5 separate regions of the Mus musculus genome follow, and all the other regions are reported to be linked to region 4. Evidence: microRNA targets listed by miRTarBase, many of them from high-throughput screens and not tested one by one. Region 4 holds a microRNA gene; each other region holds the end of a gene's coding sequence.

What was found. Region 4 holds the annotated microRNA mmu-miR-3098-3p (UUCUGCUGCCUGCCUUUAGGA, at 2,824-2,844, opposite strand). A microRNA usually pairs through its seed, bases 2 to 8, with sites in the 3' UTR of a target mRNA and lowers its output. Matches are read on the target gene's strand: a 7mer-m8 pairs with bases 2 to 8, a 7mer-A1 pairs with bases 2 to 7 and ends in A, and an 8mer does both.
Region 1: miRTarBase lists Mrps14 as a target of mmu-miR-3098-3p. Seed matches in the 3' UTR shown: 7mer-m8 at 3,355-3,361.
Region 2: miRTarBase lists Dmbx1 as a target of mmu-miR-3098-3p. Seed matches in the 3' UTR shown: 7mer-m8 at 2,055-2,061.
Region 3: the mRNA of Hrk is a reported target of mmu-miR-3098-3p. The part of its 3' UTR that is shown has no 7-base or 8-base seed match.
Region 5: miRTarBase lists Cpm as a target of mmu-miR-3098-3p. Seed matches in the 3' UTR shown: 7mer-A1 at 4,069-4,075, 7mer-m8 at 4,249-4,255 and 7mer-A1 at 4,818-4,824.

What each region holds. Positions count from the first base shown.
Region 1 is chr1:160,198,247-160,204,392 of GRCm38, reverse strand. Mrps14 (mitochondrial ribosomal protein S14) reads right to left here. Exons shown (of 3, transcript NM_025474.4): 3 at 3,207-4,965. The coding sequence ends at 4,783. Cacybp (calcyclin binding protein) reads left to right here. Exons shown (of 6, transcript NM_009786.2): 6 at 670-2,026. The coding sequence ends at 826. Among named protein-coding and RNA genes, the nearest start is that of Mrps14, 6.1 kb to the right of the region's middle.
Region 2 is chr4:115,913,435-115,919,580 of GRCm38, reverse strand. It overlaps Dmbx1 (diencephalon/mesencephalon homeobox 1), which reads left to right. Exons shown (of 5, transcript NM_001025567.1): 5 at 1,176-4,462. The coding sequence ends at 1,630. Among named protein-coding and RNA genes, the nearest start is that of Dmbx1, 23 kb to the left of the region's middle.
Region 3 is chr5:118,168,331-118,174,476 of GRCm38, reverse strand. Hrk (harakiri, BCL2 interacting protein (contains only BH3 domain)) reads right to left here and starts at 4,713. Exons shown (of 2, transcript NM_007545.2): 1 at 4,349-4,713. The coding sequence starts at 4,694. The coding sequence ends at 4,416.
Region 4 is chr6:125,192,543-125,198,688 of GRCm38, reverse strand. Mir3098 (microRNA 3098) reads right to left here and starts at 2,897; the gene lies at 2,811-2,897. Mrpl51 (mitochondrial ribosomal protein L51) reads right to left here. Exons shown (of 3, transcript NM_025595.3): 2 at 6,063-6,146; 3 at 4,297-5,466. The coding sequence ends at 5,270. It overlaps Gm52878 (a long non-coding RNA gene), which reads right to left and starts at 1,955. Exons shown (of 2, transcript XR_003956366.1): 1 at 1,447-1,955; 2 at 1-828.
Region 5 is chr10:117,682,257-117,688,402 of GRCm38, forward strand. Cpm (carboxypeptidase M) reads left to right here. Exons shown (of 9, transcript NM_027468.1): 9 at 1,022-5,096. The coding sequence ends at 1,264. Among named protein-coding and RNA genes, the nearest start is that of Gm25709, 23 kb to the left of the region's middle.

The DNA of each region.
Region 1 (6,146 bases), not on the chromosome of region 4:
AATCTTACCAGATGACTTCCATTGTGGATCAGTGTTAAGTCTTCTCCTATAGTTGGGAGTATCCTGCACTGAGTGAGTCACTCATTTTTGTCATTCCTCTCTTGGTAGCCGCATACAATTTGTAGGCCAGAGTTCTGCACATTTGATGACTTGGGACTTGAGTTAAGCCTGAGCTTAAATAATAAGACCTATTTCAAGAAATAAATGTAAGGACGATTGGCTGCTTAGACATTCCTTGACTAGATCTGCTTACCACATTAATTAAAGACCTTAGCACTAGACCCAGATCCATGAATCTAAAGTTTACTAATTTAATTTTTTTCTAACTAAAATGTTCTCCTTTCATTATGTATCCATACCATAACTTGCAGGGGTTTGTAGAATTTTTAAATGTGAAGAAAAATACTTTTAAAAAAAATCAACAATCTGGAAAACTTAACTACTCAAATTGATCATTTTCTCTGGAAATCTCACTGCCATGTTAGTCCTTGCCATTTGGCAGACCCTCCTTTGTGTACCATGGTAGTTTTATCAGGATGTGCCTGGGCATGCTATTTGGGTTGTATACTCTAGCATCCCTTCTCTCTGCTCAACTTCCTACCACTTACAACCCAAGAATGTCTTTCCATGCCTCAGTTTTTCCATTGTAGCGTGTTTTCTTTTTCACAGAAAGCCTTCCTACGACACGGAGGCAGACCCTAGTGAGGGATTAATGAATGTTCTAAAGAAAATTTATGAAGACGGAGACGATGATATGAAGCGAACCATTAATAAAGCGTGGGTGGAATCCAGAGAGAAGCAAGCCAGAGAAGACACGGAATTTTGAGGCTTTTAAAAGTCCGTATGGGAACTGTGATGTGGAATGCTCGTGTTCCAGTAAGGGGATGTTGTTGAACTGCACATATTTGTTCATGTGGGTATGTAGTTTTGACAGATAAATATTTACACCGCCTTTTAAGTAAAGATAGCAGATTCTCCATTTCTTACTGGAGGATTTGATTTAAATAAATAAGCTTATTAAACTGTTTCCTTCATTAGCACCCCAGACATTTCGTTTCAGAAAAGGCTATATGGCACTCTTACTGAAAATGTAAAAAGGAAGTCTTGCATAATGAAAATGTTATGTCACAGACTTTTGTTCTGGCTGGGAGATAGAATACAGAAGTGTTTGTCTGTAGTTGACATTAGATCCCAGTAATGTAAACAATAAAGCAAAATTTTTGCATAAAATTCAAATTTGTGCAAAGTTACTACAGAGCTGTTCCATTATTACCATGTGTTACCATATACTGCTAATTGATTTAAGTATACTTATGAATATAAAATTAAACAAAATACAAAGGACAAAAATAGACAAACATCGTGTTGATAAGTACTATCATGGTTCAGATGGCTTAAAAATAACCATGACGCGAAAACTTGAAAACGCCCATTTATTCCTTTGTTCAATAAAGTTGGAGTTTTACTTAAAAGATGAGTTCTGCAATCTGTTTTGAGTGTATTCAAAGTTAAGCTTTGTCACTGTACTCGAGTAAGTTTCAGAAAGCCGTAAGGGCTTAGCAATGGCTTAGCTGTTAAATGATAGGCTCACCATCAAAAAGAAAGCAATTAGATGCCTAGAAAAAAAGCCAGTCGATCACAACAACTACCATTAAGGATTAGGTAAAAGTCAGAACTTACAATTAATGTATAGAAAGGGTAGCTGGAAGTGTATTGAGCTGTGAAGTAAGCAGACTGGTAAACACATGAACTTATTGCATGCAGGAGATTTGGCGTTTGTAGGGAGATGAAGCATTAATGATAGCAGTGTAATAAGACAGCCATATGCTCACACTTACAGCATCTAAGATCTCACTGTCAAAAATAAAGTTATGCAAGTACTTAAAGAGATGGAATTCCATTATGACCTAGGACTGGGGAAGAAGTCTTGATTTAAAAAGTAAAAGGAAAATACATGGCAAAAAAATACACATAAGCACAAACCAATGACCTACTAAGGTTTCCAGTAACTATAAATCATTCATAGAATTAAAAAAAAAAAAAGGAGTTGGGGGCAATGACATTTTCTTCAATGGTGTAGCCACTGGTAATTTCCCCAGCATTCCAGCAAAGTAACCCTAATAAAAGCATTGGGTCACGAAACCTAAAGGGAGGGAAATACAAAAGAAATAAATATGCTCACTCTTCTAGCAAGTCCTGAGAAGCCAGATCAACCCTACTGTACATTGGGAAAACTCCACTGGTTTTTATTTAAGAACATAGCTATTAAATTTTCATGCTTAGGTTAGGAAAAGTAGATGCATAGAACATAAAAACCTGGGAATGACATACACAGTTAAGAACAAACATTAACAGGACTAGACTGTGGTACATCATGGCAGAAATAGATAATTAGGACCTTAGAACCACTGGAATTTTAACAATTGAAAAAGCACTGAAATTGAAAAAAAGAAAAGCCAGATCGGAGGGCCTACTTGGTGGTTAATAAGGGCTTTGGCAGAGGATGCAAGCAATGAAAGTTCCAGGAGCTCTCAGTGTATTAAGCTCATTCATGAAGGTGAAGCTATGACCCCACTTAATACCATGAACTAACTGGGCATTCAATTTCAATATGCATTTTACAAAGACAACTAAGCAATAGTTGCTTTGTTTGCATATTGAATTTAGTACAAGTTATTTTCAGGGAACTTTAGAATATTTGTCTATTAGATGAATTCTAATTTTTTGCAACAATTAATGAATATATTGCAATTTTTATATATTGTGATAAAAGTAAAGTTGCTGACACTCAATTGCTTTTTTTTGTTTGTTTTTGTTGTTGTTTTCCGAGACAGGGTTTCTCTGTGTAGCCCTGGCTGTCCTGTAACTCACTTTGTAGACCAGGCTGGCCTCAAACTCAGAAATCCACCTGCCTCTGCCTCCCGAGTGCTGGGATTAAAGGTGTGTGCCACCACTGCCCGGCTCAATTGCTTTTTTTTTAAGATTTGTTTTATTAATATATGTAAGTACACTGTAGCTGTCTTCAGACACTCCAGAAGAGGGAGTCAGATCTTGTTTCGGATGGTTGTGAGTCACCATGTGGTTGCTGGGATTTGAACTCTGGACCTTCGGAAGAGCAAGTCGGGTGCTCTTACCCACTGAGCCATCTCACCAGCCCCTCAATTGCTTTTTTAGAAGTTGTTTTTTTTGTTTTTTGTTTTTTTTTTAAATCTTGAGTTAATCGCCATTGTGGTTGCTGGAGGCTGCCAGAGGTTTTTTGGACTTCCCAGGGAGTTGAATTACAGTTGGTTATGAGCTGTCCCTCATGGGTGCTAGGAACTGAACTCTGATCCTTTGGAAGAACAGTACTTGCTCTCTGCTGAGCCATCCCTCCAGCCCCCAAGATTTAAAATTTTTATGTAAGATACATAAATATAGAATTAATATAAAGGTACCACTATGTTTTACTTATAATAAAAACACATTTCTAGGGCTGAAGGGATGTATACCACTCTCAAAGGGAACCCCAGTTCTGTTCCCAACACCCATCCCATGTGGCTCACAAGACTAAGTCCAGCTCTAGTATCTGACACCTCTGGTCCCCCCAAGCACTCACCCCCTGCCCCACACATACATATACACATAATTAAAAATCTTGAAACAAAATGAAAATTCCTAGCAAGGCAATGACAACTTAATGGCTATGAGTTAACCTTAGTGTATCTTGTGGTCTCTAAACATTTCCTACTAAAAGAGCCCTAAAGACAGGTGTCTTAATCAGGAACTATACTGGCTGTTATAACAGTAATCAATCAAGAACATAGTGAATAACCTTACTTACAGGATAGAGATGTCAAGGGACTTCCACTGGTAATAGGACAATGATCATGGGTAAGAATGGGCAGAGTGGGCTAATGCACCAAATATATAAACATTTCAAAGTTCACAGGGATGAACAATGATTGGTTTCCATTTTTAGTAGTATAGCAACTTGTTTACTCTGAAAATTAATTACACATTTATGTCAAAGAAACATGTTTTAGTAATTGTTGATATGGAAAGTTTTTTAAAAAAATAATAACAAACACCCAAAGGATGCAGCAAAGATAGAATTAGAAAATCCTACAATCCTTAATGAAAACAGATCCCGTGCAACCATCAGCACTGAAATATCGAAGTCTCCAGGCAACAGGTAAGGTTTAAATGTGGTAGCTCACAGCTGTTTGTAATTGGAACCCAGGGCCTTCCTCTGGCCTCCAGCACCAGGCACCCACGTGGAACATAGGTTTGCATGCATGAAAACATCCATACGCAGTAATGAAAAAATTTAAAAGATGAAACAACTATTTAGCAGTTCTTTTATTCACTGTCACATAAAGTTGACCCTAAATATAATTTAGAATATCCTGTTTAACTCTGTCTATTGTTATCCAAAAAGTGATTGTAACTGCAGACCAGGGAAACTAGTCCAGGAATACAACATAGAAAAGCAACCTGTCAATTAGATCTGACATCTAGAAATATTTTGTGAAATCACTCCAAAAATATATATTATTTTGCTACTAAACATCAAACTTGAAGGAAAGACCATACTTTCACAGAAAATATGTTTATTCCACTCTTGTACTATGCTTTAAAGTTGAAAGACAATTCAATGACAAATAGCCACATTATTTAAAATGTAAAAGTAATTTAACTCAGGGTTAAGTAGACTAAACATACTAGACCCTTGTAAGACCTAGGGTTTGATCTTAAGTCTCCTGCCAGGATTGACTGCCCAGCTGGGCAGGTTCTGAAATGGTTTTACCATATCGCTCGCTGGACTCCAGAAAGTAGCCCGTGGTCAGCTAAGTGGCGGAAGACAATGCGACTAAGTCTCCAGCGACGCTTAACACCACGTGGGCGAGATGTCATAACACAGCGATTTCTGATTCTAACAGGACAGCTATCCCGTGGAAGGGCAGCAATTTCATCACCAGCCATTTCCTAGGGGAAAATTATAACAGATCATAACTCAGTGCCTAAAGGAAAGAAAAATGGGCTAGAATCTTAGCCAGACAACTGCAGATACGATAGAGACAACAGAAATGTTTGATGTTTTTTCAATGTGATTTTAAACATTAAAATAACCATAATCCACAAATCAAAATAACAAAGCTCAGTCTATTTTTATAAACAGCATATGCTGTGTAGCCATCACTGACTTATAACATCAGCACCCAAGGCTGATTGATGATGCCTCCCTTCTAAGGGCACTGGCTAACAGCTAATATGTTCACTAAAACCTTAAGTACACATTTATCCTGTTGCAAACTGTATGCCATATGCCCATATAATATTTTTTGTCTTTATTCATTTTGTTTCTTTATTCTACAATATGCTAGTTTGCCTACACTGTTCCAAGTGTCATTGATATCCTCTGTCTCCTTGATGCTAGTTTCACTGCGTATGTTGGAATTCCTTCATGTATTCTGTAGCTGGTAGAGATAGTGTTGGGCTCAGACCTGGGACCAGCAGCTGAGGTGACTAACATACCAAAGCAGATCTACCCTCCAGGCTCTACCACATCCTTCAATCCTCACCTGAACGTCCCAGCTCAGGGCCTGGACTCCCTCTTCCCTGGAGGCTCTTCACTATATAATTCTGACATTTTAGTTCTCGTTATCTCTCACTCTTGTTTCTATCTATCTTTCTCCTCCCACCTCCCCTTTCTGTCATAGACTTTAATATTGCTTGAATTTGGCTCATTTTGCCGGCAGAGATAACCTATCACTGAGTAGGTTCTCTTTTGAGTTATTGTGAATAGTGCTGCTCCATACATCCATGTTTAAGTCATTTAGAAAAAATATGTGATGCATTTATCGGCCCATGCAGAGACACATAATTTTTGAAGGACAAAAGCTTTAAGCATCTGAGCTGATGATGCTTAGGAAAGACCATGGCTTGAGACTAGTAAAAAGTTCATCACCAGGATCCTCAAAGCCTTATGATGAAGATTCTGACTACTGCAGAAATAAAGGAAGGTAGCCAGACAAGGGCCATGAATCTTGTCCAGGTAATGGCTATGAAACTGGGAAGTGGTTGAGGGGAGAAAGTATGGCAGATTAGGCTCAGGTTGTCAGTAAACACTTATCAGATGTGTTAGCACACCACTGATCCTTGATAGA
Region 2 (6,146 bases), not on the chromosome of region 4:
ACCACGCTGGTACCTGATATTCCCGTTACAGCAGATTTCACCCTGACTCAACATTCTATCAGGACTTGGCCTATGCTTTCTTTCTTTCTTTTCTTTTCTTTTTTTTTTCTTTTAAAGATTTATTTATTATTATACATAAGTACACTGTAGCTGTCTTCAGACACCAGAAGAGGGCATCAGATCTCATTACGGGTGGTTATGAGCCACCCACCATGTGGTTGCTGGGATTTGAACTCAAGGACCTTTGGAAGAGCAGTCAGTGCTCTTACCCGCTGAGTCATCTCACCAGCCCTGGCCTATGCTTTTTCATCCCAGAGGTCTAGTCCATTAGGCGCTCTTGTGGAAAGGAGATCTGCTGAGAGGGTCTAGAGGATACGTCTTCTTTTTTTGTTTTGTTTTGTTTTGTTTTTGTTTTGAGATAGTGTTTCTCTGTGTAACCCAAGCTGTCCTGGAACTTGATTTGTAGACCAGGCTGGCCTTGACCTCACAGAGATCCATCTGCCCCTGTCTTCCAAATGCTGGGATTGGAGGCCCGTGCCACCACTCCCTAGCAGGATGGTTTTTTGTTTGTTTTTGTTTTGTTTTTTTAAAGAGGGTCTCATTATGTAATTCTAGCTGACCTAGAACTTCCTCTGTAGACCAGGCTGGCTTTGAACTCACAGAGTCCAACTGCCTCTGTGTCCAGAAGGCTGGGATTAAAGGTGTGCGCCACCACTCTTGGCCCAGGATGGTTCTTTCGAGGACTAGGCACATCCATCTCTGCTCCCCAGAGCTGCTCTGGGCTGGAGCCCCTCCCCCTAGCCAGGGTGAGAAGAAACAGAGCGCTGGCGAGCTGTATATCCAGACACAAACCCTAAGCTAGGCAAGGAGGACAGAAGGCCTTTGAGCTGAGGGCTGGGGAGAGAAGATTAGAGTCCTGCTTACTCCTGGACAAGATTAAGGCATTCCTCAGGGAACTGGGGCATGGGTGCCCAGGTAGGAGAAACCCTGCAGCTTCTCTAAGTCCCTCCCAACCCAATTCTGAGGGTCACTTCAGAGGATGCCCTGGCTGACATGGGGTGGTGATGGTTCTAGCCAGACTATGTTCACTGCTTGATTCAGGGGATTGGAGCGAGCCTCTCCTCCGAGCCTAGTTCTCTTGTTCTGAGTACTTGTTTTGTGTCCTCTGCTTGCAGATTCCCCAGGCAGCCTGGCCATAACGCCCGCAGCCCCAGGGGGCGGCCTCCTTGGTCCTTCCCACTCCTACTCCTCATCCCCACTCAGCCTCTTCCGTCTGCAGGAGCAGTTCCGCCAGCATATGGCGGCCACCAACAACCTGATGCACTACTCGTCTTTTGAAGTGGGCGGTCCCGCACCTGCGGCGGCTGCAGCTGCGGCGGCTGCCGTGCCCTACCTAGGGGTCAACATGGCCCCATTGAGCTCCCTACACTGCCAGTCCTATTACCAATCCCTGTCAGCAGCTGCTGCTGCCCACCAGGGTGTGTGGGGGTCCCCATTGCTGCCGGCGCCCCCCACAGGCCTGGCACCTGCCTCCGCTGCCCTGAACAGTAAAACCACGAGCATTGAAAACCTTCGCCTCCGGGCCAAGCAGCACGCCGCATCCCTGGGACTCGATACACTCCCCAATTGACTGTCTGGCTTCTAACCCAACCATGGTCTTGGGTGTACCCCTGTCTCGGTCCCATGGTTATTCTCAGAAGGCTCTCCAAGTTCTCCTAGAACTAACTTTGAGAGCCCAGGGATGCTGGGGCCTGGAGTCCTTTCACCTTGTCTCCCTTATTCAAAGTCCCAATCCCAAGTGAAACCCACACACCCTCTGCATGGCCCTGCTTGGACCCCATGGAGGTCAAATGGGGAGGAGGGGAGCAACTGGCTACACCCCCTCTTCAGTATTGCCTCCTCCCTCCTGCTCCCCCCCCCCCCGTTAGTAAGTTGAAGTGTGGAATGTGAGATATAAATATAAATATATAAAACTATATTTTCAGGCACTGCCTGCCCCAGGCCCCCTTTCCCTGTTCTCACATCGCCACTACCCTTGCCCCTGAGATTCACTCCAGCAGATTCTCTCTCTCTCTCTCTCTCTCTCTCTCTCTCTCTCTCTCTCTCATCCTCCTTTTTCTCCTGATCCCCCCTCCCCTGCAGCCCCACTGCCTCTGTCTTGATCCCTGTCCCTCTACCTACCCTTGGCCTTTGGTGCTGGCTTTATTATTGTCCAGTATTCTCAAACAGTGTTTCTTTTGGGGGTTGTAGGTTTTTTTTTTGTTTTTGTTTTTGTTGTTGTTTTTTGTTTTGGTTTTAGTCATTTTGTTTCTTCCTGTTTCTCTTCTGCTCCGCTTGGCTATCTCCTCCCTTAACCTGAACTCTCTCTAGGCAACTCTTCCATTCCATGCCCCAAGATTCATCAAAGTCCTACTTGGAGACCCAGGAGCAACAGGCAGGAGGTAGCTCTAACCCCACAGCATCTCCAGATATTAGGAGGGGCTCACAGTCACCTTTTCTTCTCTTTCTTTGCTTGGAAGTACCCGCTCCCAGATTGCAGAGGGGCAGCCGCAGTAGAACAGAGACCTCATTGCAGGGTTCTAGAATCCCTTCTCAGTGAGTGAACCCTTATGGCTACATACGGTCTCAGGACTTGGCTTCCTGTTGCAGAGGCCGGTGTGGGAGTAGGCGCTTCTGTCTCGTTAGTCACTGGCATGGCAGGGTGTGTTCTTCTATGTCTAGGCAACCCTGCTCTGTGGACGCCCTTTCAAGCTTGCTAGGACTGTCTTGTCTGGATAAGATGATTTAGAAGATTCTGTCCATTTCCAACCACCCAGTGTTCTATGCCACAACCTTGTATGGCAGAGGCTTTAATTAAGTTTAATAATAATAACTGCAGCATAAGCACTTAGAGAAGCCCAGTTTGTAAGTTAGAACATTACTGTTGTTTTGCTGAGGAACAGTGAGTCCTGCATACCTGAAGATCTCTGTGGATACTGCCTCTGTTTCCCAGTAAATGTAAATGGCTCCTTTTTAGGTTAGACAATCTGGATTTGATCCTATTTTTCTTGGATTCCAGTGTGAGCCTTGGGGGGGGGGGCTACTCCATTCCCCTGCCCATGGTGAGGGGTGGGCAAGATTACTTGAATAGATTCGTGGTTATGATTCCGCAACCCTTTGGCTCGCCACAGAACCCTCAACCCCACGCCCACACAGTGGTGGCCTGGCACGACTGGCCTACAGAGCCAATAGTGCTCACCTTAGTAATGTCAGTCTGGACTGGGGTAGGAGAAGGTTTTAGCCAGTAAAAAGTGAGACAGGAAAGCATGAAAGAAAGAAACAGGAGAAGTGAGCCACGGAACACAAGGTGACTGGCCTCGTGAGAGGTGAGGCAGAGAGCCTAGGACGCAGTCTCACATTCCCACTTTCACGCAGCAGCACCAAAGTCAGTTGAGGGTTTCTTAAGAAGGGGTATCTTCCTGGGTTCTAGAATCTGCGAACATCAGAGGAGGAGAGACTTGGACGGGGAGATGAGAGGTTAGCAAATCCTTAGGGAGATGAGGGGGTTCTGGGTTAGGGAGGGATCAGTGATCGATCCATGGTTACCCTATTGTGGTCAGCTTCAAGAAATTATGTTTCTGTATTGTCTCATCTGGAACCAGGCGCAGGGCTGAAACTGTCTTTCTATTCCTGGGTGCAAATGACTGATTGTCACTGGGACTTGGGATCTAACACTTCTGGGTATTACCATTTCCAGAAGCCTTCCCAACCTCCTAAAGAGCAAGGCCACCTGAGGTCATATCTGGTCATGACATGAGCCTGGTCTATCCCAGGCTTTTCTAAACTCTCTTAGATCTTTGTCATGTGTTCTCTCATGTGCTGACCCAAATCCCCAAGGCCAGAGAAGGGAGGGAAGACACACGTGGGTTTTATCTTCATGACCATGTCTTCTTAGGAGGATTAGAGGGCACGATTCTTTGAAGAAATTGTGGGTGAGCCCACCTTCCTGACACTGCTGATGGAATCTCTCTCAGGCCTGCTGGTCACTTAGGGCAGAGAGCCCAAGGATTAAACCCTTACAAGCCCTTCTAGGAAGAGTCCTGTATGTCTCTGCTCTGTTTGAGGTCTCCTTTGCCCTGCTTCCTCATTTCCCTAGAGCATGGTTCAGGGGCCTGGGTCCCCATTTCTATGCAGAGGCTGACTGGCTGTATAGACTGCTTTTCAAACCAGCTGTTTTGTGACCACTTGTGCTTAGAGGTTGTACAAAGCCTTGGCAAAAAACAAAACACCGTGTATTGTATTTATTTATTCTGTTAGTTGATGAAGCAAAACTCAAACCTCTCACTTTCCCTCGTCCTGTCCCCTGCGTAGCACAGCATGAATCTCTGTCCTGTATATCTGTCAGTCTTTTGGCCTTACTTCCTGTGACTTTGTGACCTGTTCGTTGTCTTAATTGGCTAATAAAAGAGAACCTGGCAGCACAGCCCTTGATCCATCTTCATTCCCAGAGATGCCTACCATGGGCTAAATGGTAGATGGTGTTTCAGAGTCTCGCCATGGCTGACGGGATACAATGCTGGCCCACCTGTAGCAGCTGGCTTCTCTGCTGGTTTTTCGTCACTCTCTATGACTCTTGTCTGTAGCTGGTGAGTCACATTGGAGAAGTCACTGGGAACAGCTCTGTCTTTTCTGAGCTTTTTTTGGGGGGGGGAGGGGGGGTGTTTCACCTAAGGTGAGAGGGCAACCTGGGCCAGGTGACCAGGGGGATGATAGTTCTGCAAGGTGGAGAGGGAAGGATAATCTATGGAGTGCCAAGCAGGCCAGAATCAAAGCTGAATACTAGGAAGGCACATTTGAATCTCTAGGCATGGTGACACACACCTGTAACCCCAGCACTTGAAAGGTGGAGGAGGCAGGAGCATTTTGAAGGCCAACCACCCAGGCTACGTGAGACTTGTCTAAGAAAACAAACAAACAAACAAAACGACTTTGTTGATTTTGGTGTGTGATGTTTTTATTTATTTGCAAGAGGTTTTTCTTAATAATAAAGTTTATTAAACAAAGAAAAACAAAAGTCCAGAGCTGCTCTCTGGTGGAACAGGGGCCTTTGAGTGCGGTGAGTTCTTTGTTATCAGAGGCAGGCATGCAGGACATGGAGAGGGGATTGCTGCAGTGGTAAGGTCACGTGTGTATATGTTGTTGGAAGTCCATGTGTAGGAATGGGGACCTGTGCCGTGACCTCAAGGGCCTACTGACTGGTATTTGTGTTCTTCCGGATGAGCAGGAAAGAGTGAAAGCCAGGAGACAGGGTATGTAGGTGGTAGCCATAGGAAAAGCATACAGTTCAGAAGTTTGTGGTGTGAAATCTTTGCTTCCCCTACTTATTTCAAGGAAAAAAAAAAAAAAAAAAAAAGAAAGCTGGGCATGATGGTGCATGTCTTTTAATCTCTGGAGGCAGAGGCAGGTGTATCTCTGTGAGTTCGAGGCTAGCCTGGTCTACGTAGTGAGCTCCAGGACAGCCAGGACTACTGAGAGACCCTGTTTCAAGTATAACAACAAAAGAGTACCAGACATCTCCATTCTTTGTCCCTCATCACACTGATCCTATCTTCCTTCTTTGAGTTCCAGCATGTCTGCAAGGGGACCCATTGCCAGGAGGAGCTTTTGGATGGACCTGGGGCTGGGACCTCCCTCTGTCAGGCCTTCTTGGTAGGAGAACCCCAACAGGCCTGGAGAGTTTGCAGATAGGCTATCTACTGGATTTTCCAGGGTGGGTCCTGACCTCACTACTTCCCAGGTCATTGTGACCCCAGGAGCTGCATTCCTCTCCCAAGTGGGGCTGAGGATTACCCCCCCTTACCTCCCTGACAGATCAAATGTCACCCCAAATCTCCCACAGATCTTACCCAGGCCCTCAGCAACCCAGTGCTTCCTACATATCTCAGCTTTGAGGGACACACCTTCCCTGGCACGAAGCTTGTCTGGTAACACTGCAGTTCAAATCCCTCACTCATTCTGTCAGCATTGACTGATCACCTGCTGAATGCCTAGTCCCATGCTGGATGCTGGGTATAGAGAAGCAAGCATTAAAAACGTGCCCTGACAATCGCAGCTTGGGGTGACTCAGAGTTTGAAAAATAAGGAACTGGCAACAGAGAATGTCCTTA
Region 3 (6,146 bases), not on the chromosome of region 4:
GCTCTCTCCCTCCCCACCCCCCAACACAGCCTCTTTTGTTTCTCTCCGGTATCTTTGGACAGTGACTAAGGTTACCTCCCCCCTCTCCCTCCCCCTCCCCCCGCCACCCCAGCCTTCGAGGTGCAGAATGTACGGTGGACCCTCCCACCCCCCACCCCATTACTTTACCAGATGTCCCCCTCCTTCCATGCAGCCCCCCCCCCAAGCCAGGGCAAGGGGTGGCTATCCCGTCAAAGCTTGACTGTTCAGTCCAGTTCGTTCTTTGCAAAGACTCAGGTCGATGCTCTCGGCCTCAGTTTCCCATTCTTTTTTTGAAGTGATAAGAATGACCCTAACTATTTCAAGTGGAGTGAATTAAAAGCTAGACACAGCCCTGTCCTTAGCGGCCCTCCCCCCCCCCCCCCAACACACCCTGGAAAAGGGACCGCTCTCCTTCACAGCCAGGTGGAGTGCAGCAATGGCTCTTACCTGCCCACAAAGGACAGGTACCCAACCCCCGTGCTAGGACTGGAACCCAGGGTATCCTGCATGCTGAGCAAACCCTTTAGCACTGAGCTGCATCCCTAGCCCTTCTGGTCCCTAAACCTACCTCATATGTATGCAAATTCAGACAAACCAATCCGAGTGTGTGCATACAGAGGTCAGAGGTGGAGGGTAAACACCGTTTTTGGGTTTGTTTGGTTTTTTTCTCTAGAGTCCCTCCCTGCCCCTGTCTCCTCCCCATCCCCGGTCATTTTAACTCAGTCGGCTGACCAGGGAGTGCCAGGACCACCTGTCCCTGCCCTCACTCCACCCCTCCCTCTAGAGCAGGGGTTACAGCCTCGCGTCTCTCCACAGGGCTTGGTCACAGATGCAAGGGTCCTCACGTCTGCCCAGCAAGCACTTTGCCCACTGCCCTGTCTGGCTTAGCACTCTACTGGGTTTTAAACTGACTTCCCCAGAGGGCTTGGGGTGGGAGGATGGCTCAGAAGGCACAGACATCGCCACCCCTTAAGTTTGATCTCTCAGGACCTCTGAGGAGACAATCCACTCCTCCAAGCTGTCCCCAGACCTCTTGGCATTTGCGTACCCACACACAATGAATAAGTTAATAAATAAAATAAATAGGTTTTCAAAAGAATAGTGCACTTCATCGCAATGACCATGGTAGACTATGGCCAAGGGTGGAAAAAGATTCCAGCTGTTAAATGGTCAGTAATGGTCATGGTAGCTCACATCTGCAACTGCTTTATTTATTATTGTTGTTATTGTTATTATTATTATTATTATTATTTAATTTGGTGCCATAATCCATCACGGAGCCACACAGGAGCCCCAGCCCTTACAGCCACCTCAGAAGCAGTAAGAATTGTTCCTTCAACCCTCCTAAAGTCACCTGTGCTGTAAGCTCATTGCTAATATTATTGTCCCCGTGTTGAGTATGGAAGAACTGAGCCTTTGGGGCTTTATTTCTTTTTTGTCTCTTTTATTAGTAACTTTGTGGACCAAATGTTACTGGCTCACAGCTGGGGCAAAGAACAAATTTGCTGGGCCCACTGACCCTGGTTAAAGCTAAGCTCTTAAAAGATATCCCCCAACCCAACACCCTCCCAGAGACCAAGGTAGACCAGAGCATTCTCATCCCCATCCCCACCCCCCACCCCCCTCCCCCACCCCCCACCCCCGCAATGCTGGGGAGAGCATCCCACATCTAGTACACAGAACTCAACCGATTACCCTCTCGGCCGGCTTTCCTGGCTCTAGCCAACTAGGGCAGACTGGAAAATGAGGGTGTGGTCATCTTGTTACCAGATGAAGGGAGTACCCCCGACAAGGGCTTCAGGGGTGCAAGGGACCATCTAGAGGAAAGCGCCGGCACTTCCAGGGGTCAGGAGCACAGAGAAGTGAGAACCCTGGTGGGTGTGGCAGCTAGGAGGGGAGACGTTGTAAGCAGAAGCCAGGAAGGAGTTGGGGGCGGGAGTCAGGACGCAGCACGGAGCTATCTCTGGGACGGAAACGGAGCTAGAATAGAAAGTTAATTCTAAAGCGAAAGTTATCTCTTGTTTCCCTTGCACACCACATCCATACCGTACCACGGGGCTCCAGTTTCCCAACTTCTTGTCAGAGCTCAGAGTGGAGCGCCGGGCCTGCGTGGACCGCAGCCTCTTTTTCGGGTTCCCTGAGCACCCCAACTCCCGACATGCATGCACACCGATACAGGCTCTCGCCCTCGCCCGGAGTCTTGAGTGGAACGACACTAACAGCACTTCTGCCATCCCGCCTGTGCTCCTAGACTCCCGAGTTAACATCCCTGCCCACCCCTCGCTTCTATTAGAGATTTCCTTCCCTCCCCATTCACTTCTGCACCCTCCATTTCTCCCCCACGCCCCCACTCTCCAATTCATAACCAGTATGAATTTCCCTTCTCTTCCTCCCTCTTTCTCCTCCCAAAGTCTACATTTTGGGAGTCAAAGCTGTGGCACCCTTCAAAATATTAGCCCCACCCCCCGGGATTCCGCAGCAGCGGTACTTTTGAAAGGGAGAACAGAGAGGAGGCGCGCAAGGGACCTTCAGAGCCAGGGAGCCGGGCCGCAGGGCGCCCCGAAGCGACAGTTCTCTTCGCCAGCGCCCGGGCTGCGCGGGCCCACGCGACATCTGTCGCCCGCGCTCCCGGCTCACACCCCGCTCACCCCCGCAGCTCCTCGGGCGCTGCCACCCCCCACGCTCCGGCTGCCGCCTCTCCCTGCGGCGCCGCGCCAGCTTCCTAAGGTGTCTGCGCGCCCGTCGGGCAGGGCTGGGATCAGCCCAGAGCATCTCAGGGTCTCTGGCTACCTTACCTGTGATCTTCACATTCCGACCCATTCTCGGAAGTCAGCCTAGTTCCCACCCACCCCACCCCGTTTTATGAAGCCTCTGCACTAGAAATCTAGAAAGGCGACCCCGACCGACACTTCTTGCTCCCCCAAACCGCCTAGCCCGGTACCTGGCACACAGCGGGTGCTCACAGGTCACCCTACCAAGGACCCACCTATAGCCTCCCGATATCAAACATTAGGCACCCAGCACCCAGGGACGGTCCGGAGCACACAGCAGGCGCCCACACCTCTCGCCGTCGCTGGGGAAGGTGATAGGAGGCCAAGCTGTAAACCGCGACACCTCGTGGTAAAAGGAGCAACAAAGTTACCCAGGAGATGGGACCTTGATGTGCGCCTGCCTTGGAGAGAGGACCACGACCTACCCCTGAGAAACTTCCACGGGAGCGGGGGTGGGAGGAGTTGGGGGGTCATAGAGAATGGGGATCACCACAAACTGCAGACCCTTGAGGAGACGGGAGTTGGCAGTGGAGATATGGAGACCTGGTCAAGTTGGAATACCAGGCGGTTTGAAAAGGGCCGGGGACTCGAGAACCTGTGGTGCATAATTAGGGGAGACTCTTAGCTCGGACTGGTGCAGTTCTACTGCGTGTGTTTACTGGGGCTGGCAGCGATTGTGGTGGCTTACGTCCTTCTAAAACCACTATGCTGCAGAGGAAGGAGGAGGAGAGAGAAGAGGGAGAAAGGAGAGAGGGGACAGTGAGGAGAGAGAGAAGGGGGGGAGAGAGAGAGAGGTGGAGAAGGAAGGGGGGACACGGGGTAGTGGGAGAGGAGAGAGAAAGCAGACTGGAGAAAGGGAAAACAGGAGAAAGTGGAAAGGCAGAGGAGAGCTACACAAGGGGAAGAATAACGTGAGCCAGGGGATTGGAGAAAGAAGAGAGTGAAAACACTGAAGAGAGATGAGAGTGAGGGAGAAGAGAGAGGAGTGGGGAGGGGGGGGAGAGTGAAGACAGAACAGAGACAGGGGAGCGGGAGGAGAGGGGGAGGAGGTAAGGAAAAAGAGGAGAGAGAGAGGGAAAGGAAAGGGAGAGGAAGGAGAAGGGGAGGAGGGAAGGAAAAAGAGGAGAGAGAGAGGGAAAGGAAAGGGAGAGGAAGGAGAGAGGGGGAGAGAGTGGAGATGGAGAGTGGAGGGAAAGAAGAGAGGAGAGAGATGAAGGAGGGAAGGAGAGAGGGAGAGAGAGGAAGGAGGGAGGAAGAGAGAGAGGGAGAGAAGAGAGAGGGGGAAGGAGAAGGGAGGAAGAGAAGAGAGAAAGGAGAGAGGAACAGAGGGAGGAGGAGAGAGAATGAGGGAAGAGAGGGAGGGAGAGGGAGAGAGAGAGAGAGAGAGAGAGAGAGAGAGAGAGAGAGTAGGGGGGATGAGGCGGAGCAGATACTCGGGGTCTGGATAAAGAGGGACAGAGGGCAAGCGAAGAGTAGGAGACCGGGTCCGCTGTTCCTCGCCGAGGAGCCCTGGCTCCCGCTGTCGCTGTCGCTCTCCCGCCCGCTTGCCCGCGTACCTGTTGCTCGGTCCGGGCTGGGTCTCGGCTCCGGTCCCCCCCACCAAGAAGGCCCCGCGCGCGCCGCCTACGCGCTCCGCCTGCCGAGCAGCCAGGCCGCCAGCGCCGCCACCTGCGCGGCCGCGCACAGCCAGGGCCAGCGGGCGCGGAGCGCGGGCAGCAGCGCGGGCAGCGGGTCCCGGGGCCGCGCGCGACGCCGCATGGCGCGTCGGTGCAGCTCGTCGCCCAGCGCCTGCAGCCGCAGCGCGGTCACCTGCGCCGCCGCCCAGCGCAGCCCGGGGCGAGCGTCGCCGCAACCGCACACGGCCGGGGGCCCGCGGCCGCGATGCCGGGGACACGGGCACATGGCGTGCGGAGGAGCCTCCCTGGACCCCAAGTTTCGCCCTTCACCGCGCGTTTGTTGTGCTGACGGCGCTATTATTAATTAAAGTGTCACATGGTGGAGGGGGCGGGGAGGGCGCGGGGAGGGGGTTACATCATCCGGCCCGGGGGGTGGGGAGTGTGTGCAGGAGAAAAAGCCGAGAGGTAACTTTTAACCCTCGAGACGCCGGCAGGGCGGGGACAGGCAGGGATGCGGGGCTTCGGGAATGCTGGCCCGGGGTCCGCTGTTTCGCTTCCCGGGCTGCGGGAGGCTCCAGCTCGGAGATAGCCTGGAAAGCCAGCTCGGTGCGCACTGTGAATTGAGCTCCGGGAGAATTCGGCCGTAATGCGAAAAGATCCCCGGGCTGTTGTGTGGCCTGGGTGGTGGGAGGCAGGGTTCAAGCCGACTTGCCCTGTTTCGGGACAGCCTCCGCACCTGTCAGCCTCCGGGTGGGTGCACACATTCCTGACACGCGTTCGCACCCCCTTCTGGTGACCTGACTTAAGCGCACCCCGGGGTGGGAGCCTGAACCCTGAAATGAAGGCGGGGGACCCGGGATGGGTTGGACTCCAACTTGGGCGAGTCGCCTTTGCACTCAAGACATCTCCCCACCCCCCACCCCCCACCCAAGAACGTGGTTCTAGAGAGAAGTTCTTGCAGCCTGCTTACTTTGTAGGCTTTATCTTTTCAAACGGGGTCAGAGTTTGCTGGCGACCCTGTAAGGCTTTGCCTTGGTGCCCAGTGAGGTTACCTAACCCAAAGGAAGACCAATCCAGTTTTGCTCCAGCTCCAGCCTGGGAAGTCCTCTGGGGAGGGTGCCGACCAGTGAGGAGGCTCCTGGGACTCCTTAGGGTGCTAGAGAGACCCGCCCACCATGTCCAAGCCACTGGATTTTGGACAGCTTTGGGATTGGGGCCTGAAGGAGCAGGGAAGTGGTCCATATACAACCTGGTCCATATAGTGGTTTCAGGCCAGCCACAGTTACAGAGAGAATCCTTTATTTAAAAACCCCAAAGAGTCAGGGATGCCTCTGTGGGTAAAGGTGCTTGCAACCGAACCTGATGACTTAATTTCAGTCCTGTGAATCCGTGTGTTCCAAAGACAGAAATCTGATACCCACAGATTGTCCTCTGACCTCCATATGTACTACCCTATGTGTATGCACATAAGATAGATAGATAGATAGATAGATAGATAGATAGATAGATAGATAGATAGATAGATAGATAGGAGATAGACAGACGTATTCAAACAGAAAACAAGTCGAGCAGTGGTTGTACACGCCTTTAATCCCAACACTTGGGAGGCAGAGGCAGGCAGATTTCTGAGTTCGAGGCCAGCCTGGTCTACAGAGTGAGTTCCAGGACAGCCAGGGCTACACAGAAAAACCCTGTCTCAAAAAACCAAAATAAATAACTAAAACCCAAAAGATAAGAA
Region 4 (6,146 bases):
GTGTTCCTGGCTGTCCTGGAACTCACTCTGTAGACCAGGCTGGCCTTGAATTCAGAGATCCACCTGCCTCTGCCTCCCAAGTGCTGGGATTAAAGGCATGCACCACCACTGCCTGCCCATCTAACATGTTTTAAATATTCATCTGAATGTGGCATGTATGGGTACTTCATTCCTTTAGTAATTGAATAATAATTCACTGTACAACTGTTCAAAATCTTGGTTACTTTTTTTTTTAAATCAATTGCTGGACATTTGTCCTTTTAAAACATTAATTTATTTGGGGGGCAGGCATGCACATATGGAAATGAGATCAGTTTGCAAGAGTTGGTTCTCTCCTTCTTCCATGAGGGATTAATTAGTTCCAGGGACCAAACTCAGGCGTCCTTCAGACTCACTATGTATCTGAAGAAGGCCTGGAACTCCTGATCCTCCTGCTCTACCTCCTAGGCACCTGGCCCACGGGGCTCTGCTAGCAGGTAGGCATTGGTTTGGTTGGGTTCCTCTTGTGGCCACCATAATGGCCTGCACTAGCATGGCCCTTTCTGCTCTTGTGGAACAGACACGCTTCCATTCTCTTGGGTGACACCTCTGAGTGACATTACCGATCCATACGTAACTCTGTGTTTAGCTTTTTGGGCAGCTGTGGATTTCCCAAAGTGGCTAGATCATTTTACTAAATGTAGGTTTCCTCGTGCTCTGACTCTTAACTTCTCAGCTTATCTTTAGGCACACAAAGTAGTTCCACTAACAAATACTACTTGTAGCCTTGCTGTGTGCTGGCTCCATGCTATTTCTCACATCTGTGCCATTTTGCTCTGCATCATTTGCCTGAAAAAAAAAAAATTGTTACCTCCCTCTGCACCCCCTCCCCACTTTTAACATTCCTTTAGGATAAATTAGTGGTGATCTGATCACCTACAGGAAGCCTTCCCTGCCCTCTACCTGCTCCCCTGGGGTTGGTTAGGGACTCCTTCCTGCCTGTGTCTATATAGTCATTTCCCATTGAATTCCTAGCACTGACCCTTTCCAAGACCTACTTCAAGCACTTCAATCCACAGTCACACACACACACACACACACACACACACACACACACACACACACACACACACACACGTGCATGCATGTGCACACACAATTTTCTCACCCCCTTTTAAAAACAAACAAACAAAACAAAAACAAAAACCTCATGTGGGACTGGAAAGCTGGCTCAGTGGTTAAGAGCTGCTCTACCAGAGATCCTAAATTCAATTACCAGGAGCCACATGGTGACTCATAATCATCTATAATGAGATCTGGTGCTCTCTTCTGGTGTGCAGGCCTACGTGTAGGCAGAACACTGTGTACACAGTAAATGGATAAACCTAAAAACAAAAACTCATGCTGCAACAATATTTTTCCCACGCAATTACCGAATTCAGATATGCATCTTGTTTACATACGCACCCTGTACCTGACGGATGAAATCTTTTTACAGGCAGTGGTGTAGCCTTGGTTTGTGGTGTATATGCCTCCAAGGTCCTTCCACACAATGATTCAGTGTTTGTTGAAGGGAAATGTTGCATTCTTTTTCATTACAAAAACAATCCAGCTCTGTGCTTGAAAAATAAGACTTTTTGTAACTGACAGCAGGAAGAATTTTATACGGGCTTCTGGGGCTGACTTGTTAGTTCCTTCTTCACTAACACTTGTGAGATTGTATTAAAACATTTTCCTCTTCCTTTTCTACCTTTCCCCCTCCTCTTTGGTTTCTCAAGACAGGGTTTGTGTGTGTGTGTGTGTGTGTGTGTGTGTGTGTGTGTGTGTGTGTGTGTGTAGCCTTGGCTGTGCTGAAACTTGTTCTGTAGACTAAGCTGACCTTGAGCTTATAGAGAAACACCTGCCTCTGCTACCCAAGTGCTGGGATTAAAGGGGTGACCACCGCGCTTCATGGCTTTTTTGTTTTTTCTTTTCTTTTTTTTTTTTTTAAAGATGGGATTTCACTGTGTAGCCAAGCCTGGAACTTGATATGTAGACCAGGCCTGCCTCTGTCTCCAGGGATCAGTCCTGGGTTCAAAGGTTTTTGCCTCCATGCCTGAAGACCTCAAGACTTCTTAGCCTCGTTTTATCAACCCTTGTTATTTAAATTTTGTCCTTTGGGATCAAGTCTCTAAGCAACCAAGCCCAAGAGAGGCTGAATAATAAGACCTTGTGCCAAAAGAACTTAGCTGGGGCTGTGGAGAGATGGCTCAGAGGTTACAAGCACTTGCTGTTCTTGCAGTGGCCCTGATTTGGTTCTCAAAAAAACAAAAACAACCCAAACTACCAATTGACTAAGTAGATGTGAGTGAAGATGTCTCAGGCGTGTTAGCCCACTGCTGAATATGGCCTCGTGACAGCAAACTAGATTAACCATCTGAAGAAGAAAACCCAGAGAAAATGATTTGAAGTTGTTTTAGTCATTGAGTTTAAGAATGGACTGTTACGTCATAAAAGATCATTGACACAGAACTTAGATTTAAATCAAATAGGATAACCACCCTAATTTTTCTACCTTCAGAGCTCACTTGAGTCTACAAGCAATTCATTTTCTTGGATTTGCAATACTTTTAACATTTTTAAATTTTATTCTACATCCCAACCACAGCTTCCCTCTCAACCACAGCTTCCCTCCCTCCATAGTCTCTCCCTGCCACTTTTCCTCCCCACACCCAGATCCCCACTCCCCTGTTCTCCCCAGGTCAGGCCTCAGTGGCTATCAACCAGCCATGGCATATCAAGTACAGTAAGACAAGGCACCTCTTCTATTAGGGCTGGGCAAGGCAGCCGGTTGTGGGGAAAGGGTCCTAAAGGCAGGCAGCAGAAGCAGGGGATAATCAGAGCTCCTACTCCTGCTGTTAGGACTCCTCCCAACCACAATGTGTGGAGGGCCTAGCTCAGTCCCATGCAAGCTCCCTGGTGGGCAGTTCAGTTTCTGTGAGCTCCTAAGGGCTCAGGTTAGTTGATTCTGTGGGTTTTCTTGTGATGTCCTTGACCCCTCTGGCTCCTACAGTCCCTCCCCCCACTCTTCCAAGAGAATCCCCAAGCTCTGCTTTGTTTGCCTGTGTGTCTCTGTAATACTTTTTTGTTTTGTTTTGTTTTTTTCAAGACAGGGTTTCTCTGTGTAGCTCTGGCTGTCCTGGAACTCACTCTGTAGACCAGGCTGGCCTCAAACTCAGAAATCCTCCTGCCTCTGTCTCCCAAGTGCTGGTTTTAAAGGCGTGCGTCACCACCGCCCGGCAATACTTTTTTATAAAAAGAAGTAGGTATTATATAGCCTTGGACATGGCCACTAAATATGAGGATTAAACAGTAGTTTGAAGCTGGATACAAGGACTCACACATATAATCTTGTCACTCTGGAGGTAGAGGCAGGAGGATGGGTCCCAGTTTGAGCTATAAGAGTTCCAGGCCAGCCTGAGCCTGACTTTGAGAGACTATAGGTTTTTGGTGTTTGTTTGTTTGTTTTTGTTTTTATGTTTGTTTTGTTTTTTCGAGACAGGATTTCTCTGTATAGCCGAACTCAGAAATCCACCTGCTTCTGCCTCCTGAGTGCTGGGATTAAAGGTGTGCACCACCACCGCCCGGCTTATTATTATTATTTCATGTTTTACATGCAATAATACATGCAGCTATGCCTGTGCACATGTGCATGCCTGTCTCCATGGGAAGCCCAGAAACTGGAAGTATAGTCAGCCTTGAGTCACCATGTGTGAGCTGGGAATTAACCTGGGCAACCTGCAAGAGCATCCCTGGGAGATGGCTGGAATCATCTCTCCAGCCCCAAGACTGTTTAAAAAAAAAAAAAAAATGCAAGAAAAATTCCCTGGATTACCTTTCTGTCATCTCCAGACTTCTCACTGAATTGATTTCAATTGAAACATAAATTCAAAAACCTGTGGAAAATGTGGTGGCTTAAGCCTTAGATCCAACACTAAGGTATTATCTCCATGAGTTCAAGGCTAGCCTGGTCTACATACTGAGTTCCAGGATAGCCAAGGCTACATAGAGAAAACCCTATCTCAAAAAACCAAAAGAAGTAAATGAAGAATGTCATAGCAAAACCTATTATTTTTGTAATATATACTAACAAAAGCAAAGTGCAGCAGAGGGTCTATAGCTCACTATAAAGTACTTGGTATATCCAAGACGCCAGCACTATGCCATATAGAAGAGTCTCTCAGGGAAGCCCACACTCATGCTCTCAAGTGTTTTACCTCTGAACACCTCTCTCATAGCCCTGATGCTCAAACCTGTATTAAAATATCTTTCTTTTTAAAAAAAGATTTATTTAATGTATGTGAGTACACTGTAGCTGTACAGATGGTTGTGAGGCTTCATGTGGTTGTTGGGAATTGAATTTAGGACCTCTGCTGCCTCAGTTGACCTTGCTCTCTCTGGTCAACTCCACTTGCTCTGGTCCAATGATCAAAGACTTTTTTATTATTAAAAATAAGTACACTGTGACTGACTTCAGATGCACCAGAAGAGGGCGTCAGATCTCATTATGGGTGGTTGTGAGCCACCATGTGGCTGCTGGGATTTGAACTCAGGACCTTCAGAAGAGCAGTCAGTGCCATCTCACCAGCCCTAAAATATCTTTCTTAAATGACATTTTTTTCCCCTAAAAAAAAAAAAAAAGCAAACAGGGTAGCACACACAGGGGTAATACTGGGTGTGATCTTTAACACTTCATAAAACTGGGCATGACTCAAGGTCAGCCTCCACAAAACTGCCCTATTCAAGAGGATGGGAAATGCTGTGGTACTCAGACAAGTTCCCTAACTTATAACTGATAAGAGCAGTACAAAGTGTAATTTCACTTTCCTAGTTCATTTTGGGGTGGCAGAGTCTTTAGAAATAGCAGCTACACTTCCAAGGGCCTGGGCGGCTAGTGGCAGAGTTCCCTAGAATGAGCAAGTCCCTGGGTTTCAGCTCCAAGATTACAAAAAAATAAGATAAAATAAATAAAAATAAATTCTTTAAAAACTTACACGAGGTGCCAGTGTCAGAAAGTGCCAGCAATAAATGATTGTTATAAAGGCCACAAGCATAACTGGGCTGTAAGTAATAGTAACAAAAGATCATGTGACTTAGGAACGAGGCAGACGTCAGAGTGCATGAGTAAATGTAGCACTGGGCATATCAGATTCCAAAGGAGCCCCATTTTTTTATTACATCGAGCACACAAAGCTCTCTCCTTGCTGGGATAAGTCCTGTTCCCCTTCTCCAGGGTGACACATTTCCCGTCCTATCTGTACTTCCCATGTCGGTTAAAGTGTTTGTAGAGATAGCTGATCCGTTTGTTAAGGTTATGCAGGTCCTCAATGAACATCCTGTTTCCCACAAATTTCTTCTTTCGGACACAACGCTGCAATTCATTTCCTCTCCAGCCTCGAAGCCATACTGGGCCCTTGATCAGTTCTTTTGGGTGCTTCTCGAAATTCCCTGTAACGTGACAGAATATATACTAGTTTCAAGAGAAGAGAAGTCAGCCTAGCCCAACTAGGCCTTCAACACAGTTTCATCTCCCTGATCAGAACTACTGACAGACAAGGCACACACCAGTCTAGTACAAGGGACAGAGTCTTTGTAACACTTGCTCTTCCAAAGGATTCCCCAGCACTCTCAACTGAAGGTTCACGACTGCCTGAAAGGGAAGTTCTAGGAAGTCACCCTGAACCTGCAGGCATTGCTTGAGCAGTACACGGTACACATTCAGAAAACACAAAAATCTTATTTAAAAAAGAAGAAAGAAAGAAAGGAGTAAAGACTTTGCAGCCAGAAATGTCTGGGTTCAAATACTGACACTCCCATTTACTCGCTTTGGCCCTCAGACCTGCCCACTACTGTGTTAGTGAGACTGAGTCCCGCACTCCTCACTATTCTCCGCATCTCAGACTGGTCTTGCCTGGCTTCATCTCCCGTGTAACAGGTTTGTGCCCCCAGGCTTGCCCCGGGCACATTACTATTCTCTCCACAAATAAAACCGAAAGAGTCAAGAGAGCATACTAATCCTTCAGAAACCAGGAATCGCGTCCTACCCAGGATTCCAATGTTGTCGTAGACGCCAAACAGAGCCCTCTTCTCGTTCCAGCGATCAACCACTTTGGGAGGTGGAAGAGTGA
Region 5 (6,146 bases), not on the chromosome of region 4:
AAAGTGCTCAAAAGGAAGCCCTGAATGCCAGCACTGCCCAGAGGCAGGTGGACCCAGTGAGTTTGAGGTCAACCTGGTCTATGTAGCAACTCCAAGAGCAATCGCAACCTACCTGAAGATTCACAAGAACAAAACTAGTTTTTAAAACAATTGAAAGTTGTTTGGTTTTGGTTTTGGTTTTGGGGGTTTTGTTTGTTTGTTTGTTTTTTCAAAACAGGGTTTCTCTGTATAGTCCTGGCTGTCCTGGAACTCACTTTGTAGGCCAGGCTGGCCTCGATCTCAGAAATCCGCCTGTCTCAGCCTCCCAAGTGCTGGGCTTAAAGGCATGCGCCACCACCGCCTGGCACAATTAAAAGTTTTAAAAGAAAGTGGTAGAAGGGCTCCGAAGGTCTGGGTTGAAGTTCTGGAATCCACCGGGTGGCTCACAACTGACCATCCGCGACTCCAGTTCTAGGAAATCTGTTGCCCTCTTCTGGCCTCTGTAAGCACTGCATGCAAGTGGTAGACACGTGCAGGCAAAAAAACCGCTCTTGTGCAAGGTTTTGGGTTTGGTTTTGTTTTGTTTCTTTCTTTCTTTTTAAAAAGGAGGGGTGGGGAGTGAAGTAGAGTTATACACCTTAGGTCAGTGGCAAGGAGAATGGGAGTAAGTTGAAGGAAGAATCTACTCACAATCTTGATATCCAATAAGGATACTCTAGGCTTGGTCCAAAAAAAGCACCTTTACCCCGGCACACTGAAAATGACCGTGGCAGAATCAGTCGTGGCTTCCTCCATTTAGTCTTTTCCTTCACTAGATGCTGAACCCCCTCTCTGTTCTTACTTCATTTTGTAATTCTTGGTAGCATTTGCACCAAAGGCCTACATCAAGAAACACTGGCAACTTTCCGGGCGCTATAGCCCCGGAGGCGTGGACCGCTTTCAAGCCACGCATGCACCGCTCAAAGGGGTGGAGATCTGTCTTCTGCGTGGACCTCACACCCATCTGAAATCACTCAAGTAATTGTTTCTTGTTCCTTCTCAGGTTACAGTCCCTGGACACGACTCCTACCTCACGAAGCTTACTATTCCAGGGAAATCCCAGCCCTTCAGTGCTCTTAAAAAGGATTTTCACCTCCCGCTGCGATGGCAGCCGGATTCCATCTCCGTATCCAATCCTTCGTGCCCGATGATTCCGCTGTACAAATTCATGCCAAGCCACTCGGCTGCCACAAAGCCTAGTCTGGGCGTGTTTTTCATGACTCTTTTGTACGTATTTTTTAAATAAAGCAAGGTGTGAAACTCGACTTCCGGGAATCAGGGATTGGTTACTCCCGGTTATGGCAACCCTCCCTCCTGTGGGACTGCGATTGGGACAGACTCCACTGTTTTCCTTAAGAAGAAAACCGGATGTTTCCAAACCTGGCCTAGAGCGACCTGTAACGACCAAATCCATCTTCAGTCTGGATAAAGTGGAGGTCACTGCTTAGCTCATGCTGCCCACACAAACGCCACCCCGAAGGAGTCCCAAACACTTGTAAGAAAGTTCAGAAGCAAAACAGATATCCCTACAAGAAAAACAATTTGTCTACGGAGAGCCACGTGGATCAGAGCCGCAAGGACGGGCACTTTCTGGTCACTTGCTGTGTTACGACCTTTCGTGTTATTTGTAGAGAGCTGATATTGTCTATAAGTGGTTCTCCCCAAAGGAAGAAATTTCTAGATAACGGGACTAAGAGCATTTACTCTTGCCAATGGTCTAAGGCCAAATGAGAGAAAATGGACAAACATGTCTGATGTGGGTACAGATGCAGTGGCCTCTGTCTCCCGTGCCTTTGCCCTTGCCCCCTGCACCTGATGCCACAGTCCTACGAAGATGACCCCTCCTGTATAACCCCAGTCCCTTGCCTGAGCCTCAGATGCAACTCCAGCTGCTCACCAGACACACCCACCTGACTACGATGCCTAGGAACTGCAGTTCATCCGGTTGACTGTTGAGACGCCATGCAAGGCTGTTCGATTCCCATATCCAGTCACTGGAAGCTGCTGTATACAGCCTCTCCAGGCCAGTTAGCGTCCCTCCGCCGCTGACCCAGCTGCTGCTCATGGGTATTTTCGCCAAGTCCGTCTTCCACACAGAACCTGGGGAGCTGGGCTGCCCAAAGCTCTCCTGCTCCCTAAACACAACACAGTAAGTGCTCTCGGTCCCAGGTCTGGATTCTGATTGTGTCACGTCTTGTTTCCTGCTCAGTAAAACTCCATTCCATGGGGGGTTAAGAGCACTGACTGCTCTTCCAGAGGTCCTGAGGTCAATTCCCAGCCACCACATGGTGGCTCACAGCCATCTGTAATGGGATCCGAGGCTGCCTTCTGGTGTGTCTGAAGACAGCAACCATGTAGTCATACACGTAAAATAAATAAATTTTTTAAAAGGAAGAATTCCAAGCATCGTCTTCAACGGGGAAGCCCATGGAGTTCCAGGTGGTCAAGTTCAAGGCCGATCCTTCAAAGAAGTTCCTTTGACTAGTGACTTTACAGCATCGTGGTGTGGAACTGCTCTGTGCTGGCCTTCTCTAGCACGCCATGAGCTCTTTAAGACAAGGATCTGCTTGAGAAATAATTTCTCAGAGTCTAGCCAAAAAACAGGAAATAAATGGATGGGGAAGTGTCTCAGCTACCGCTACAGACCTTTCCAGAACGCTAAGGATCTGAGTAATTTTGTGTAAATGCGTTTTATGTTTGGCAACATTCAGCTTACTAGTACACACACACACACATACACACTTTTCACGTGTATGTCAAAGAACAAAATCCAAAGATAAATGCAAATGGGTGAGCTGTGAGGCTTGAGGGAAAGGCATTAGCTGTTAGCCAATCTGCCTTCTAGACCAGAAAACAAATTCTTACAGTTCGAAGTAAAGTGTCCCCTGTAAAAGTAACTTTATTCTAACATTAGAAGAAGAGAAAGCTGGGCGTGTTGGCGCACACCTTTAATCCCAACACTCAGAAGGCAGAGGTGGGCGGATGTCTTCGTTTACACAGACAGACCCTGTCTCAAAAGTAAATAAATTAAAAGAAAAAAAAAAGGATAAATATCAAACAGGAACATTAACAGTAACTCCGAGGTGCAGGTTTCTAAGTGACATGCATTTCCCACAGGAAGTAAGAACATGCGGGGTTTGACAGGCGATGAAGGCTTGAGACTCTAAAGAGATACGTGGGCACCCTGGTGCCCTTTCTTGGTGCCAAACCTAATCTATATTTTAATATCAATAGTCTGCATAGCTTTTTAACCGCTTCTAAATTTGGAAATAGCATGAGTATCTTGATCATTTTATTTAAATAAGCATTAACTTATATCCCAGAAGGCGCGTATTAATAGTTCAAAAAGGGATCTGGGTATATTACATTTGAAGTATATATATAAGACGAAGCCAGGTGTGGTGGTGAACTATTATCCCAGCGCTTGGGAGGCTGAGGCAAGATCGACACAGCTCAAGGCTAGCCTGGACTAGCCATCTTAGAAAAGCAAAACCAGTAAGATATGTAAGAGCAAACTTGGTTCGCCATCAGCTGGTGTTCTGAGTTCTGACTGGTTGACCCTTTCCTAAGATTCCGTGAAAGGAAATGAGCTGTTCGCTGAGCTGCTCATGGGCCTAACCGGAGACTTGGTACTGAAACAACTTGCAAGTGCCCGTGTCTTACCAGAGACTGTGCCAGGGCTTTGCACAGGGCCATTGAGCCACAGCTACGTCTTTATTTTGTTACTTTTTGTTCAGACACAGCATTTCACTAAGCTGTGTAGCCTGCACTTGGAACTCATAGTAAGCCAAACTGGCTTTGGATCTGCCTGCCGTAGACGCTGGAGTAGCTATTACAGACCTGGTCCGCTGTGTCCATATTCAGGTTACATTACTTAAATCAGAAATATATATCAAAACCCAGTGTAAAAATCACTAAAACAGGGTGAGGGGTGTAGCTCAGTGACAGTGTACTTAGCATATGCAAAGGCTTGGGTCTAATCTCCATTAACTACCCCCAAGACAAAACATAACCAGGAAATTATTCTGTTGCCCTCTGCCAGGTAGAGAAAGCAGAAGGAATACTTGGGTCTGTAACTGTTTTGAAAGCAATATACCTTACTAAAGGTGACCTGAAAACGGAAATGCTGGTTACCAAAAACCACGTCCTTTTCAAGGAAACTTTCACAAAGTGCCTAGTTTACATGCGTGCCCATTTTTGAATTGAGATGGTAAAATCCTAGCACCCAGGCAGCAGAGGCAGGTGGATCTCTGTGAGTTCAAGGCCAGTCTTTTCTACAGAGTTCTGGGACCGCCAGGGCTACGCAGAAAAACCCCCGTTTCAAACAAGCAAAAACAGTCCCAGTTTTCTCAGACTCTGCCTGTACTAAAATGGTATTAACATCAGATCTGCTTTCCAATGTATGAGCTGAAGCTGGGTTGAGACGTATCTGTTTCTAGGAAAAATATACAAAGCCATATAGCACACTTATTTTCCTATTGCAACAGGAGTTTCATTCTCAGTCTCGGAGGGGGCATCTAGTGAAGGTTTGTGAGCTCAATTCTGCCTTCCTGGTGACCTCAGGTACGGGAGAGAATGATGCTGGATTAGGTGAAGAGCATCGGGTTCTTGGTGCCTACAACAGATTCTTCACCGAGTTTGTTCTAGACTTGCATCACTAATAAGATGCTGTACTGTGTCTCACAGGCCGTTTAATCAAACCTTAAGCTCACAAGCCAACCCACAGCTCTGTGCGAGAGACTTCATGCGGGTTTTTGTTTAACAAGCTTCTAAGTGATTCCTGCCATTAAAAGCACAGAAGCAGAAGCTATTAAAGGTGCCCAGGTTGAGTGGTGGCAGTGCTGGACCACGCCTTTAATCCCAGTACTCCAGAGGCAGAGGCAGAGGGGACTCTGAGTTCAAATCCAGCCTGCCTGGTCTACACAGTGAGTTCCAAGACAGCCAGGGCTACACAGAAAAATAAATAAATTCTCAGATTATCTAAGATTACAACGTTTGCTTGGGAGGGACCATGACTACCTCTGAGCTTATTTTATTTACATTATCTGATTATCAATAAAGAATATTCATATAGTGAATGTTGTCTCTTTCCACTACTGTTTTGTTTGCAAACATAACAAAAATCTACAAACTAGAAAAGACTGCTATATGGGGCTAGAAAGATGGCTCAGGGATTAAGAGCACTGACTTCTTCCAGACTCACCTACACTCTCCTCTCTCCACCTCTTTCTTCTTCCTGCCTCAGACCCCCAAACCCCACCTGTCTCTCTTCCACACAGCTACAGGCTGCAGGCATCTTTATTCGCCAATCGGGGATAACTTGGGGGACAAGATTACAGAGCATCATCTGGGTTTAAGTGAGAATTTCCCAGCCCCTGGAGGCAACCAGGGCCAGTATTTAGCAACACCCAAAACCTAACAGTCTCCGGCCTTCCACCTTGTGGTAGCCTCTTGTTTCTGTCATGATGCATACTGCAAGCCAGCTGACCAGCAAGCTTCCAGATGATTCGCCTGTGGGTCTGCCTGTCATCTCTCATGCTGTGGTTACAGATGAGTGCCACCATATCCACGGTTTCTGGGGATGGAATCAGGGCACAAGACAAGCACTGAGCCATCTCCTCCACACAAGTATCTTAACTTTAAGTTAAATCGCAAACATTTCTCCGACTCAAAAGAAAATCCATTGCAATATAATATATTGGGAAATCCCTAGGCAAAATTGCCTAAAGTATTTAAATTTGTAGCTATTAGGGGCTGGAGAGATAGCTGAGTGGTTAAGAACACTGGCTGCTCTCCCAGAAATTCTGAGTTCAAATCCCAGCAACTACATGGTGGCTCACAACCACCTGTAGTGAGACTTGATGCCCTCTTATAGTAAGACAGCTACAGTGTACTTATAATAAATAAAGCTTTGAGCCGGAGCAAGCAGCCAGCAGAGGTCCTAAAATTCAATTCCCAACAACCATATGAAGGCTCACAACCATCTGTACAGCTACAGTGTACTCATATACATAAAATATATAAACCTTAAAAAAAAAAAAAAAGGCGGCATGTAGACAGCTGTGTGGTCAAGAGCAGCATCTGCTCTTACAGAGGACAGGGTTAGGCTCCTAGCCTGGAACTCGGGT